Elephas maximus indicus: one gene and its partners. The protein of the gene in region 3 interacts with the protein of the main gene of each other region in a pairwise test. Links are inferred from orthologs where the notes say so. Each region holds a gene or a part of one and is shown on either strand. Other genes may lie near its edges.

Region 1 (3,747 bases), on a different chromosome or scaffold from region 3:
AATAACATCCAGTGGGCACTGGGTTAAGTATCTAAAAAAAAAAATTTAGCTACAATAAATTTGGGCTACCCAAGGACTCTCTGGGGGGGGGTAAAAAAAAGGCATTTCAAGGTTATCTTTACTCCCTCCTCTTGCAACTTTTTCAAGCCTCAAATAAATCTGGCTTTTGCGGTATCTTTCAATGGCTCCTGGTATTCATTTTACTTGACTAATCCAAAAATATGAACCTTAGTCAACTGAAGTAGAAAAAAGACCCACTGAGTACTTCTGTGGAGAAAACATACAGAACTGAACTAAGCTTTTTAATTTAGATAATAATCTACCAGCTCTAACAGAATTCAGAAGGAAATAAGGTAACTTTGTTAAGGGTAATAATGTGATTATGGTGGTGTTTTTTAAAGTATCAGAAATGCTAAACTAATTATAAGTGAAATACTGATGTCTTAAATTTGCTTTAAAAATTACAGTGGGATAAATAACTGTGTTAGAAGAGAACAAAGATAATAAACCAAGATTAGCAAAATATTGCTTCATTTTACCATCTCTACAAGCGTTACTAAAAGCAAATAAATAAAGCAGATTAGTACTAAAAACTCCATGTATGATGTACTACCATAGAAACAGTGCATTCTAGACCACGAATGTTTTGTGTGCTCTGAGTGTCGTAATTCAGATAACCACCAACAAAGTTAGTGTAAGTTTAAAAAATCTTGGATTAAAAAAAATACGAACCCTTGGAGTCCTTGGGTGGCACAAATAGCTAAGCAATGGGACTACTAGCCAAAAGGTTGGTGGTTTGAACCCATCCAGAGGCACCTGGGAAGACAGGCCTGGCGATCTGCTTCAAAAAGTCACACCCTTGAAAATCTATTGAGCATTTCTCTACATACACGGGGTCGTCATGTGTCAGAATCGACCAGATGGCAACTAACAACAACAACAAAATTATGAACTCTTAAAATTACCTCCAAATTCAGTCCTTATGGGGCATACAAACATCTGAAGGATAAAAAAAATTTTTTGACGTTTTGAAAGTTTCTGATTATTCATGCTTTAGCTCAAAGACTATCAACTGGTTTACAGACCTCTAAACGACAACAAAAAAACCTAAACCCGCTGCCTCGCGTAATTCCGACTCATAGCAACCCCAATTCTACACAAATTGCGGCAGCCATAGTTGTAAACAGTGTAAGAATGTGATGACTAGAAAATTAAAACTACAACAGAATGTTCTTTGAAGTCTGACGATCACATTGCCAAAAAAAAAAAAAAGTAAGTCATTTCTAGAGTAAAAAAAAAAAAATCCTTCAAGGAATCAAATCCACCCCAAGAACAGAACGATAAAGTCTGGCCTCAGCTCTTTATACCGAAAAACCACTTTGAAGGCAATGAGCCCTCTTTTACAACCGCAAGGTGTAATACTTTATTTACCAATAAAGTGACACAAAACGCCGCCAACACCACCGCCCCCCTACCTCCAGTCCACTCCCCCACCCCTCCTCCACCCCACCCCCAGATAAGCTCTGTAAGCTCTAATCCTAGGCCAGGGAAACTCCTGAGAGAGACTGCAAGAGCTCCTGTCTGGACACGTTCACTACCTGCGGGGGGAGGCGGAGGAAGGAGGGGTGAAATCAAGAAACTTTTGACTAAGCCAAGAAAAACGTGACTCTTCTCGGAAAATTAAAAAAATTAAAAAATCCCTGTGAGTACTAAGGGGAGGGGCTATTTCTAAACACCTCACAAAAATCAGTTTCTTGATTCTGCAGCCCAGGTAAATAAACAAGGTCGTACCTGAGCGGCTAACTCCGCCGGCGGCCCTAAAATGTGGGCGGCGCAAGGAGTCTCCGCCTCCTCACCCACCCGGCGACTCGACCCAAACAGCTCGCTTTTCCTCCGCAGAGGCGAGGCCGAGCCTCCTTTCCGGGCTCCACCTAGATGTCTTCCCCAGCTTGCCGTCGCCAGGAGCGCACACGCTGCCCTCACAACAGTCACCCTAGCGTTCTGACAAGATTTTTTTTCCTCCTCCGGGCTGAGTCACACGCGTCGCTCGCCCCCCGCCCAAGGGTCCACGTCCCACACGCCTCCGCAAAATCTCTAAGGCCTGTTCCGTGTGGAGCGGCCACTTATGGCTTTTCCAGCTCCACAGCTAACCGAAACTGCTCCACTTCCCGTCACAATAGCAGTCCGGCAGGAATGGTTTCTCCTCGGGAAGAAAAGCATAGTCATTTGCCAGCATCGTCACCACGGAGAATATTCCCCGGACCGGCCAGGGCCCTAGACTCCGGGGACTGAGGGACGTATCACGGTCCCCAAGAAGAGCTCCCACTGGGGCCCGCCCCGCCAAGGGCGCTGGAGCAGACCTGGGAAGGCGCCTTACCCAGTGAGGGGCTCCCGGCCAACGGGGGAGCGTCAGAAAGGCTTCCGATCCCGAGACGCCATCAACTGCCGAACTCCTTCCGAGACCTCCCCTCAGGGCCGGGAGCCAGCGTCGCGTCACTTCCGCCCATAGGGCTGTCCCTTCCGCCGCCGCCGCCGCTTGGGGCTCCGCGACTCCCCACCTGCCCCAAAGTAGGCGATTCAAAGCCTGCGGCCCAGGTAACTGCGCGCATTTCTCCGGCCCGCTGCTTTTTCCCCTTTCTTTCTACCTGGCAATTTTCACTCAGACACCTAGTTCCAGCAAAACAGGCCCTGTTCGTTTGGATTTGTTTTTTTTTTTTTTAATTGTTATTTTGACCTACAAAATGGGGAAACACACGGAAAAGTTAAGTAACTTAACCAGTGCGATAAAAGGTAGCGAAGTGATGGGAGGATAGAGAGAGTTGGAAGCTGGCAGAATTGTCACGAAAGGAGAGACTGGAAGGACTGACTCATTAGGGGGAGAGCAAGTGGGAGTACGGAGTAAGGTGTATATAAACTTATATGTGACAGTCTGACTTGATTTGTAAACGTTCACTTGAAGCTCAATAAAAGTTAAAAAAAAAAAAAAAAAGGTAGCGAAGTAGCACATGGACAATTACCATGCCACTGCCTGGATCTTAAAAATCTGTCTAAACTAATCCACTCATCTTATAGATAAGGAAATAGAACCAAAGGAAGGAGCCCTGGTGGCGCAGTGGTTAAGCGCTTGACTGCTAACCGAAAGGTCAGTGGTTCCAACCCACCAGCCGCTCCACAGGAGAAAAAAGACCTGGCCATCTGCTCCCGTAAAGATTTACAGCCTCATAAACCCTATGGGCAGTTCTGCTCTGTCGCATAGGATTGACTATGAGTAGGAATTGACTCCGCCGCAATGGATTTGGATTTTGTATGAGTTGGAATGGACTAGCTGCACACAGCAGAAGCGAAGGGAGCGACCACAAGGATAGGGCTACAACTTCTAAAATCCAACGCTCTCTCCTAACTCCTAGTCAGTCTTGTCCCTTTTTAACTACGATCACTGTAAATCCTCAGTTTCTCTGAGAAGCTCTTCTGTTCTAATAATGTTCTGTGATTCTATTTGGTCTCACTCCAGAACTGGTTTCTTCACAATCGCATTTCTGTGAATTGTTACCTGTATTATTTTAAGGTTGGGGTTGTTACTTTGCGGGTGCGAATGTTGCCCTTCGTTTTCTGTTGAATTGCAATTTCATTTATCACTTTTGACTATTATATATGTTCCCTTACTATAATAGCCTATAAAAACTATACTATAAAAACCCCGGTGGCATAGTGGTTTAGAGCTATGACTGCTAACCAAAAGGTCGGCAG
Region 2 (3,747 bases), on a different chromosome or scaffold from region 3:
TTCCTAATTCTGTATTTCACACACTCTGTATCTAAAGAGGCACAAATACTGTTAACATAAACACTGCTTCAAAAATGGTAATTCAGCTAAAATGAATTACTGAAACATAAAACTAATAAATTAGCACTTGGACTTGCAAAATGCTCTCTTGTTGCTTGGAGGAGTAAGGGAAAAAATACAAAATCTTGCTTGGTAGCTTTGGAATAAAATTCACAGGAAAGTAGAAAAATATATTCCAATGCCAGGGCATGCACAGATAGATAGAGATAGGTAAACAGATATATAAAATGCTTAGTCGGCAGTCTCTGACTTGAATATGCATCAGTCTTCTCTATGAAATGTGTTCACCTAGTTTCCTCCATCCTTCCTTGGGCAGCACAGTTTCCAGACCACCTGTGCATTTGGAAAGCCCACGTCTAGGTCGCAGTGCAACTCCTATGTTCAACTAAGAAACCTCTGGGTATCTCTGCTCTTTTCCCAGCAGTTAACTGTGATTATCTCGATCCTAGCTGGCATAGCCAGGGAACTCCAAAAATACTGGCTTGCATTCCAGACTCTAAGATCACCCTGCACTGAGTGATGCTTTGTTAGCCAGTGAGCCCTCTGGTTTCATCCGTTTCATACTCCCTGTATTTAACTCAGTGCAGCCTTGCTAGGTGCAAACAATACATAACGAAGCCTTTAAGGATCAAAACAAGTGTGCTAGCTAAGAGACAGGATTTTACGTGGATATGCACACCGGCAACAGTAATAACGATTCCAAAATCGCTCAGGACGGGACTGTGAGTATTCACGTGATTTCCTCTTCCGAGAAATGTATTTCATCTTTATTCCAAATAGAAAGCTTAAAGCAGTCAAGAGCCAGCTGGGCCTCTAGGGACCTGGCCCTGGTCTTGGACCAAGAATGAAGCGGCCCAAGCCCCCAAGGCTCCTCCGGCGATGCCCCTTCCGGGGAGTGTCCAGCCCACCGAGCAAACTCCCGGACCGCCCGCCCGCCCGCCCGGAGCGGAGCCCGAGGGTCCAGCCGCGACCCCGAGGCCGCTGGGGGTGGGGGGCGCACTCGCTTGGCTGGCCCCTCACCTTCCACACCTCCCCGCGAGGCCCGATCCCGCGGCTTCGCCGCCAGCTCCGGCCACCAGTGCCGCTCGGCGGGGGCCCACGAAGCCCTGATGAGGAGAAGCCCCGCACTGAGTGCCGGGAGGACGGCCGAGCTCAACCTGCGGGGACCGCACCGAGGGGAGGGTGCCGGGGGCATAAGCTGGAGCCACACTGAGGGGAGGGTGCCAGGGACCGAAGCCGGAGCCACTCTGAGGGGAGGGTGCCGGGGACCGACGGCCGAGCTCAACCTGCGGGGGCCGCACCGAGGGGAGGGTGCCGGGGACCGAAGCCGGAGCCACACTGAGGGGAGGGTGCCGGGGACCGACGGCCGAGCTCAACCTGCCGGGGCCGCTCTGAGGGGAGGGTGCCGGGGACCGAAGCCGGAGCCACTCTGAGGGGAGGGTGCCGGGGACCGAAGCCGGAGCCACTCTGAGGGGAGGGTGCCAGGGACCAATTGCCGAGCTCAACCTGCGGGAGCCACACTGAGGGGAGGGTGCCGGGGACCGACGGCCGAGCTCAACCTGCGGGGGCCGCACCGAGGGGAGGGTGCCGGGGACCGAAGCTGGAGCCACACTGAGGGGAGGGTGCCGGGGACCGAAGCCGGAGCCACTCTGAGGGGAGGGTGCCGGGGACCGACTGCCGAGCTCAACCTGCCGGGGCCGCTCTGAGGGGAGGGTGCCGGGGACCGAAGCTGGAGCCACACTGAGGGGAGGGTGCCGGGGACGGACTGCCGAGCTCAACCTGCGGGGGCCGCTCTGAGGGGAGGGTGCTGGGGACCGAAGCTGGAGCCACACTGAGGGGAGGGTGCCGGGGACCGACGGCCGAGCTCAACCTGCCGGGGCCGCTCTGAGGGGAGGGTGCCGGGGACCGAAGCTGGAGCCACACTGAGGGGAGGGTGCCGGGGACCTAAGCCGGAGCCACTCTGAGGGGAGGGTGCCGGCGACCGACGGCAGAGCTCAACCTGCGGGGGCCGCTCTGAGGGGAGCGTGCCAGGGACGACCGCCGAGCTCAACCTGCGGGGACCGCACCGAGGGGAGGGTGCCGGGGGCATAAGCCGGAGCCACTCTGAGGCGAGGGTGCCGGGGACCGACGGCCGAGCTCAACCTCCGGGGGCCGAAGCCGGAGCTCAACCTGTCGCGGCCGCACTAAGGGGAGGGTGCCGGGGACCGAAGCCGGAGCCGCACTGAGGGGAGAGTGCCGGGGACCGCAGCCCAGCTCAACTGGCGGGGGCCGCACTGAGGGGACGGTGCGGAGGACAGACCGCCGAGCTCAACTGGCGGGGCCCGCACTAAGGAGAGGGTGCGGGGAACGGACTGCCGAGCTCAACCGGCGGGGGCCCGCGAGTCGGGCGCGCCCCCGCCTCCTCTCCCGCCCCGGCCCCCAGCCCCGGCCCAGGCCTGACCGTCGGAGGCCGCAGCGGAAGCCCCGTTACCTGCGGGGGGCGGCGGAGGGCAGCGGCTCCGGTCCCCTTTTCGCCCCCAGTTAACACCGAACACCTCGCCTCCCCCGTGAGGTAGGTCTCCTACACACACAGTCTTCCGGATTCTCGGCTCTCCGACACCATAGAGTTGGGCCGGAAATGGGACAGAGTGCTAGCCTTCGCCTTTCCGACACCAACACTGAGGCAAATGAGCCCAGATTCTGGCTAGAGCGGCCACACAGGTGATTCTCAGGAGGGTGCCATCTTGAGTGTGGGCACCGGCCTCGAGCCCATTTTATTCACTGCTCCTAGCAGCCGAGTTGGCCTGCGCAGGTGTTCCTTCCCTAAGCATTCCAGTTGAAGACATAAGTTTTGTTTTGATTTTGCTTTTTAGGTCTTTAGCCTCTCAGCTTTAATTTTATTTCCGCCCGAATCGAAAATGGCCAACCATCGCCCTAGCAAATAGGGGCCGAGACGCAAAAAGGAGTCCAATCTGAAAACTGGCGGCGTTGTGCAGTCCCGCAGCCCTGATTGGCTCCGCAGCGTCGGTCAAAGTCCTGGGAAAGACGGCTGAAACTGGCTGAGTCCCGCTTAAGCGTTTGGGACGGAGAGTCTGAAAATTACACTTAATTCAGCAAAGAAGTAAAATTGAGAATATTAATAGTACCTGTTGCTAATATTAATAGTGACTGTTTCACTGGGTGAGAAATACGTAATGGGTCTAAAACTATACTATATATGGCACATAAAAACCAAATCCGTTGCCCTGGAGTTAATTTCGAGTCACAACGACCCTAAAGGACAGATTAGAACTGCCCCATAGCATTTCCAAGGAGTGCCCGGTGTATTCCAACTGCGGATTTTGGCTTAGCAGCCAAGCGCTTAACCACTGTGCAACCAGGGCTCCATGGCACGTAAGAACTCTATGTATGTTTCTTGTCATGGTCATGATCTTAGTAGTAATCTTTTTTTTACTGCTCCCTTACCGTTGAAAACTGACGTAAATCGTTTGGCCATGTGCAACTTTTTGGTCCTTTCCAGTCTGTGACAGTAGCAGAAAAAGTTTAAGAGAGATAGGACTCCACAATTTTGTCACCAGGATAAATGGAAGCAAGAATCGGGCCAAATTTTCCCCCTTATTCAGGAATGTACTAAACAAATATTGATTAGGAGACAGGCACAGTGATTAATTTTGCCGGTCCTATAAACTTGATGAAGTCAGCTTCTGT
Region 3 (3,747 bases):
CAACTGACTAGAAGAGATCTATATTTTGCAGTTCCAAAGAACGGTGATTCAACAGAATGCAGAACTTATAGAACAATATCATTAATATCATATGCAAGTAAAATTTTGCAAAAGATTATTCAAAGATGTTGCACCAGGGAACTGCCAGAAATTCAAGCTGGATTCAGATGAGAACGTGGAATGAGGGACATTAGATGGATCTCGGCTGAAAGCACACAACACCAGAAGGATGTTTACCTGTGTTTTATTGACTAAGCAAAGGCATTCAACTGTGTAGATCATAGCAGATTATGAATAGCATTGTGAAGAATAGGAATTCTGGAACACTAAATTGTGCTCATGCAGAACCTGTACATAGACCACGAAGCAGTTGGAACAAGAGAATAATGCGTGGTTTAAAATCAGGAAAGGTGTGTGTCTGGGTTGTATCCTTTCACAATCTGTATGCTGAGCAAATAATCTAAGATGTTGGACTATATAAAGAAGAATGCAGCATCAGGATTGGAGGAAGGCTCATTAACAATCTTTGATATACAGATGACACAACCTTGCTTGCTGAAAGCGAAGAGGACTTGAAGCACTTATTGATGAAGGTCAAAGTCTACAGCCTTCAGTATGGATTACAACTCAACATAAAGAAAACAAAAATCCTCACAACTGGATCAATAAATATTATTCAGGATAAACAGGGAAAATATTGAAGTTGTCAAGGATTTCTGTTTACTTTGATTCTTTAAAGATTACAGGCTAGGAAACCCTATGCGGCAGTTCCACTTTTCCCACAGGGTCGCTATGAGTTGGAATCCACTGGATGGCACACAAGAACACTTCCATATTCAGGTGAATTGTTTTCCAGAAGACAGGCCCAACTTCTGGGTCAGTAGGAGAAAGCCAGTGATCCCTATCTGTGAACGCGCCTGAAGCCCTTAGCAGTCATCACTGACATCACCTCTTCTCTGGACCCTGATTACCCTCCGTGCCCTTCATATTACAGGTCTCTTCAAATTCCTGAGTCATGCTCTGTTTATGTTGCTGTGCTAGGAGCAAACTGTGGCATGGATCCAAACAAAACTGACGCGAGCGTGGGGAAGGAGAGTGCCTGGTGGGAGGTGCCCAGTGGGTGCAATTAAATAGGCAAAGGGCAAAATGCAAGCACAGGACATTTCTGCACTGGCCAAAAACAGACCCTAGGTCCCCCATTCCTTTTTTTCTCCAGATCCCGGATCCCAATAAGCTGGAAAAAGCTGGATTTTAGTTCTTTGTATTTATTTTTGGACTCAACCAAGAAACAGCAGGGAGGGAAGAAGACATTTTCAGAACAATTTTATTTCGTTTTAGAACGATAGTTAATGTCACATGAACATTCAAATAACACGTAAATACGTCATGGTTGCAGTGGGATCTACTTAGGAAAGGTTTAGCTAGAAAGAAGATACAATGAAACAGACAACGTACTTGTCTACCCCCATCCTGCGCTGTTCCGAACGCTGGGGGCGGGACACGGGGCGGGGTTTGTGGCGTCACAATACCAACGCGCTGCTGTGTTGTTTTTGTGTCCCCAGCTCCTGGGAAAAGCCGTCTGGATCTCTTTACCTGGCCATCTTCTACTGCCAGGCGAGGCGACCAGAGATCCCTTCCGAACGCTCTGCCAATAGTGTTGTGGCGGGAGCTGGCACTTCTGAAGCGATCCTGAAACCTATTGAAATTTGACGGAGAGGAGCAATACGCGAGAGACGCAATCATCAGCGAGGAAGGCAGGCCCCGTCTGGGGATTTTAGAAACCCTGCGGTCCATCATGAAGTTCCAGTATAAAGAGGACCATCCCTTTGAATATCGGAAAAAGGAAGGAGAAAAGATCCGGAAGAAATATCCGGACAGGGTCCCTGTAAGTGTAATGGGAACGGGTGGAGGGTAGGGGAGAAAGTGGGGGGAGGGTTGGAGAGCTGGGGGTTGGGGAGTCGCGATGGCTGCCCTAAGGAACAGAAGGGTCTCCGAAAAAGGGAGGTCTCTAAAAATTCCTTGACCCCGGATGTCCTTCGCTAGCTGCCGGAGCTAGTGGACTTTTCAGACTGCGGAGCTTTCCAAACCCGTATCCCGAGGGCCTGTTCCCATCTTCATAGCTGACCGCATCTTTAGAGCGAAGCCAATGTCTCGAGTGACTCAGCAGTTTTCAGAAGATGTGGCCTTTTTGTGCGAGAGTCATTAGTTTGGGGCTCTAGGTTTGCTTCGTTTAAGAACGCACGGAAATTACTATGGGAGCGACTGATGCCCTGGGGTTTGCGCCTGTCGATTTCTGCTATAGGTGGTTCTCCTTTCATCAATTTCACTCTGACCTGGTTATCCTTGGGCTTGGGAGGGAAAAGATGGGAAGCCAGTGGATTCATTCTCGTATTCTGTTAAGATTGGGGTAGGGGGTGGGGGGCACCACAAGACAGGTCTGGCTCAAAAACAAGGTCACGTTCTCTGCGCAGCAACCGGCTTGCTTCATCATTCTTGGCTCCAGGGGCAGTGTGTAGTGACGGCCAGCTTTCCTGGGTGCTTAATCTGATCAAATCATACCTGGGCACGAGACAGACTGAGACCTCTTTCTGTTTTAGCCCCTGATTTATGTAGTTAAAACTAGTGCAGAAGGAAAAGATGAAATAAATAGCAAGGCATCTTTCAGCATCCGGGCGTTTTTCCAGTTTGTCCCCTCCCCCGCGCACTTGCCTGGTTTCCCTCTAATGTAGGCTGCGCAGCCAGAATGAAAGACAGAAGCCTGTGGTAGAGGGAGCAGCAGTTTTGGGGTGTTAGAGATAGAAGAGCAGTGACCGTAGGGTTGTGCTCTTTATCTTCAGATATGGGCATTTGGATGATGTAACTGGTAAAGGAATTGTAAATGTAACGGGTAAAGACATTGCAATTATCTGATGTCCTTTCTTGACCTGCAGGTGTTCCTGGGCCTCCTCTAAACAGCTACCAGAGGCAACTTGGGGCTTAGCCCAGCAGTACAAAGCCCTCGTGGTCCTTTCCTATAAAGAGGAGACATCAGAGCCATCCTATTCCCCAGCAATTACACACAAAAGGGTTTTTTAGCTGGAAAGGGGAGCCAGCCTTATTACCCAGTAAAGAATTCTTCACAGTTTATTTTCGTGGTCTCTGGACCTTGGATGATTGTTTTAAAATCGTCCCCCAATTCTCGTGGCACCAATCCCAGTTTTCAGTAATAGTATTTAAAAATGAGAGCTAATATTTACCAGTAACTTACCCTGTATCTGGTGCTATTATAAGTGTCCTCTATATAGGCATCCCATTAACCCTCACGCTATTATAATCCCCAGTCTATAGATGAAGAATCTGAAGCACAGAGACATGAAGTAACGTCATATTGGTGGTCTGTGACCAAGCTGAGATTTCAGCTTCACCTCTCATGCATAGCGCTATGGGCATGCCTAACCTCCATGCCACATTGCTGCTCAATTTCTAATGTAGCTCTGTTACCAGAACTAATTAAGTGCCTCTCACTGTTAGGTATTGGAAATAGATAAACTATTGCTGCCCTCAACAGTTCACCGGAAAAGTAACTCAGTAAGCAAAATGACTACAATTTATTCAGGACTTGCAAAGTACAAGGAACTGTGCCAGTTGTTGTTAGGTGCCGTCGAGTCGATTCCCACTCATAGTGACCCCTGTGTACAACAGTAGCTTCACATAAATGACAAACTGAAATTTACCTGTTCCTAAATCTAGTTAAAATTTCCATATGTT

Evidence for each region.
Region 1: the proteins of GABARAPL1 (region 3) and TAX1BP1 interact in binary tests that used the Homo sapiens proteins (3 or more experiments, as listed by UniProt). The link is inferred for Elephas maximus indicus from reciprocal best matches to the Homo sapiens genes GABARAPL1 and TAX1BP1.
Region 2: the proteins of GABARAPL1 (region 3) and SCYL3 interact in binary tests that used the Homo sapiens proteins (3 or more experiments, as listed by UniProt). The two-hybrid records come from large-scale screens. The link is inferred for Elephas maximus indicus from reciprocal best matches to the Homo sapiens genes GABARAPL1 and SCYL3.

What each region holds. Positions count from the first base shown.
Region 1 is NC_064826.1:88,877,638-88,881,384, reverse strand, and holds the start of TAX1BP1 (tax1-binding protein 1), read right to left. Parts: upstream 2,485-3,747; 5' UTR 2,378-2,484; intron 1-2,377.
Region 2 is NC_064821.1:214,082,473-214,086,219, reverse strand, and holds the start of SCYL3 (protein-associating with the carboxyl-terminal domain of ezrin), read right to left. Parts: upstream 2,765-3,747; 5' UTR 2,531-2,764; intron 1-2,530. UniProt on the Homo sapiens protein: May play a role in regulating cell adhesion/migration complexes in migrating cells.
Region 3 is NC_064822.1:67,460,043-67,463,789, forward strand, and holds the start of GABARAPL1 (gamma-aminobutyric acid receptor-associated protein-like 1), read left to right. Parts: upstream 1-1,507; 5' UTR 1,508-1,795; coding exon 1,796-1,885; intron 1,886-3,747. UniProt on the Homo sapiens protein: Ubiquitin-like modifier that increases cell-surface expression of kappa-type opioid receptor through facilitating anterograde intracellular trafficking of the receptor. Involved in formation of autophagosomal vacuoles.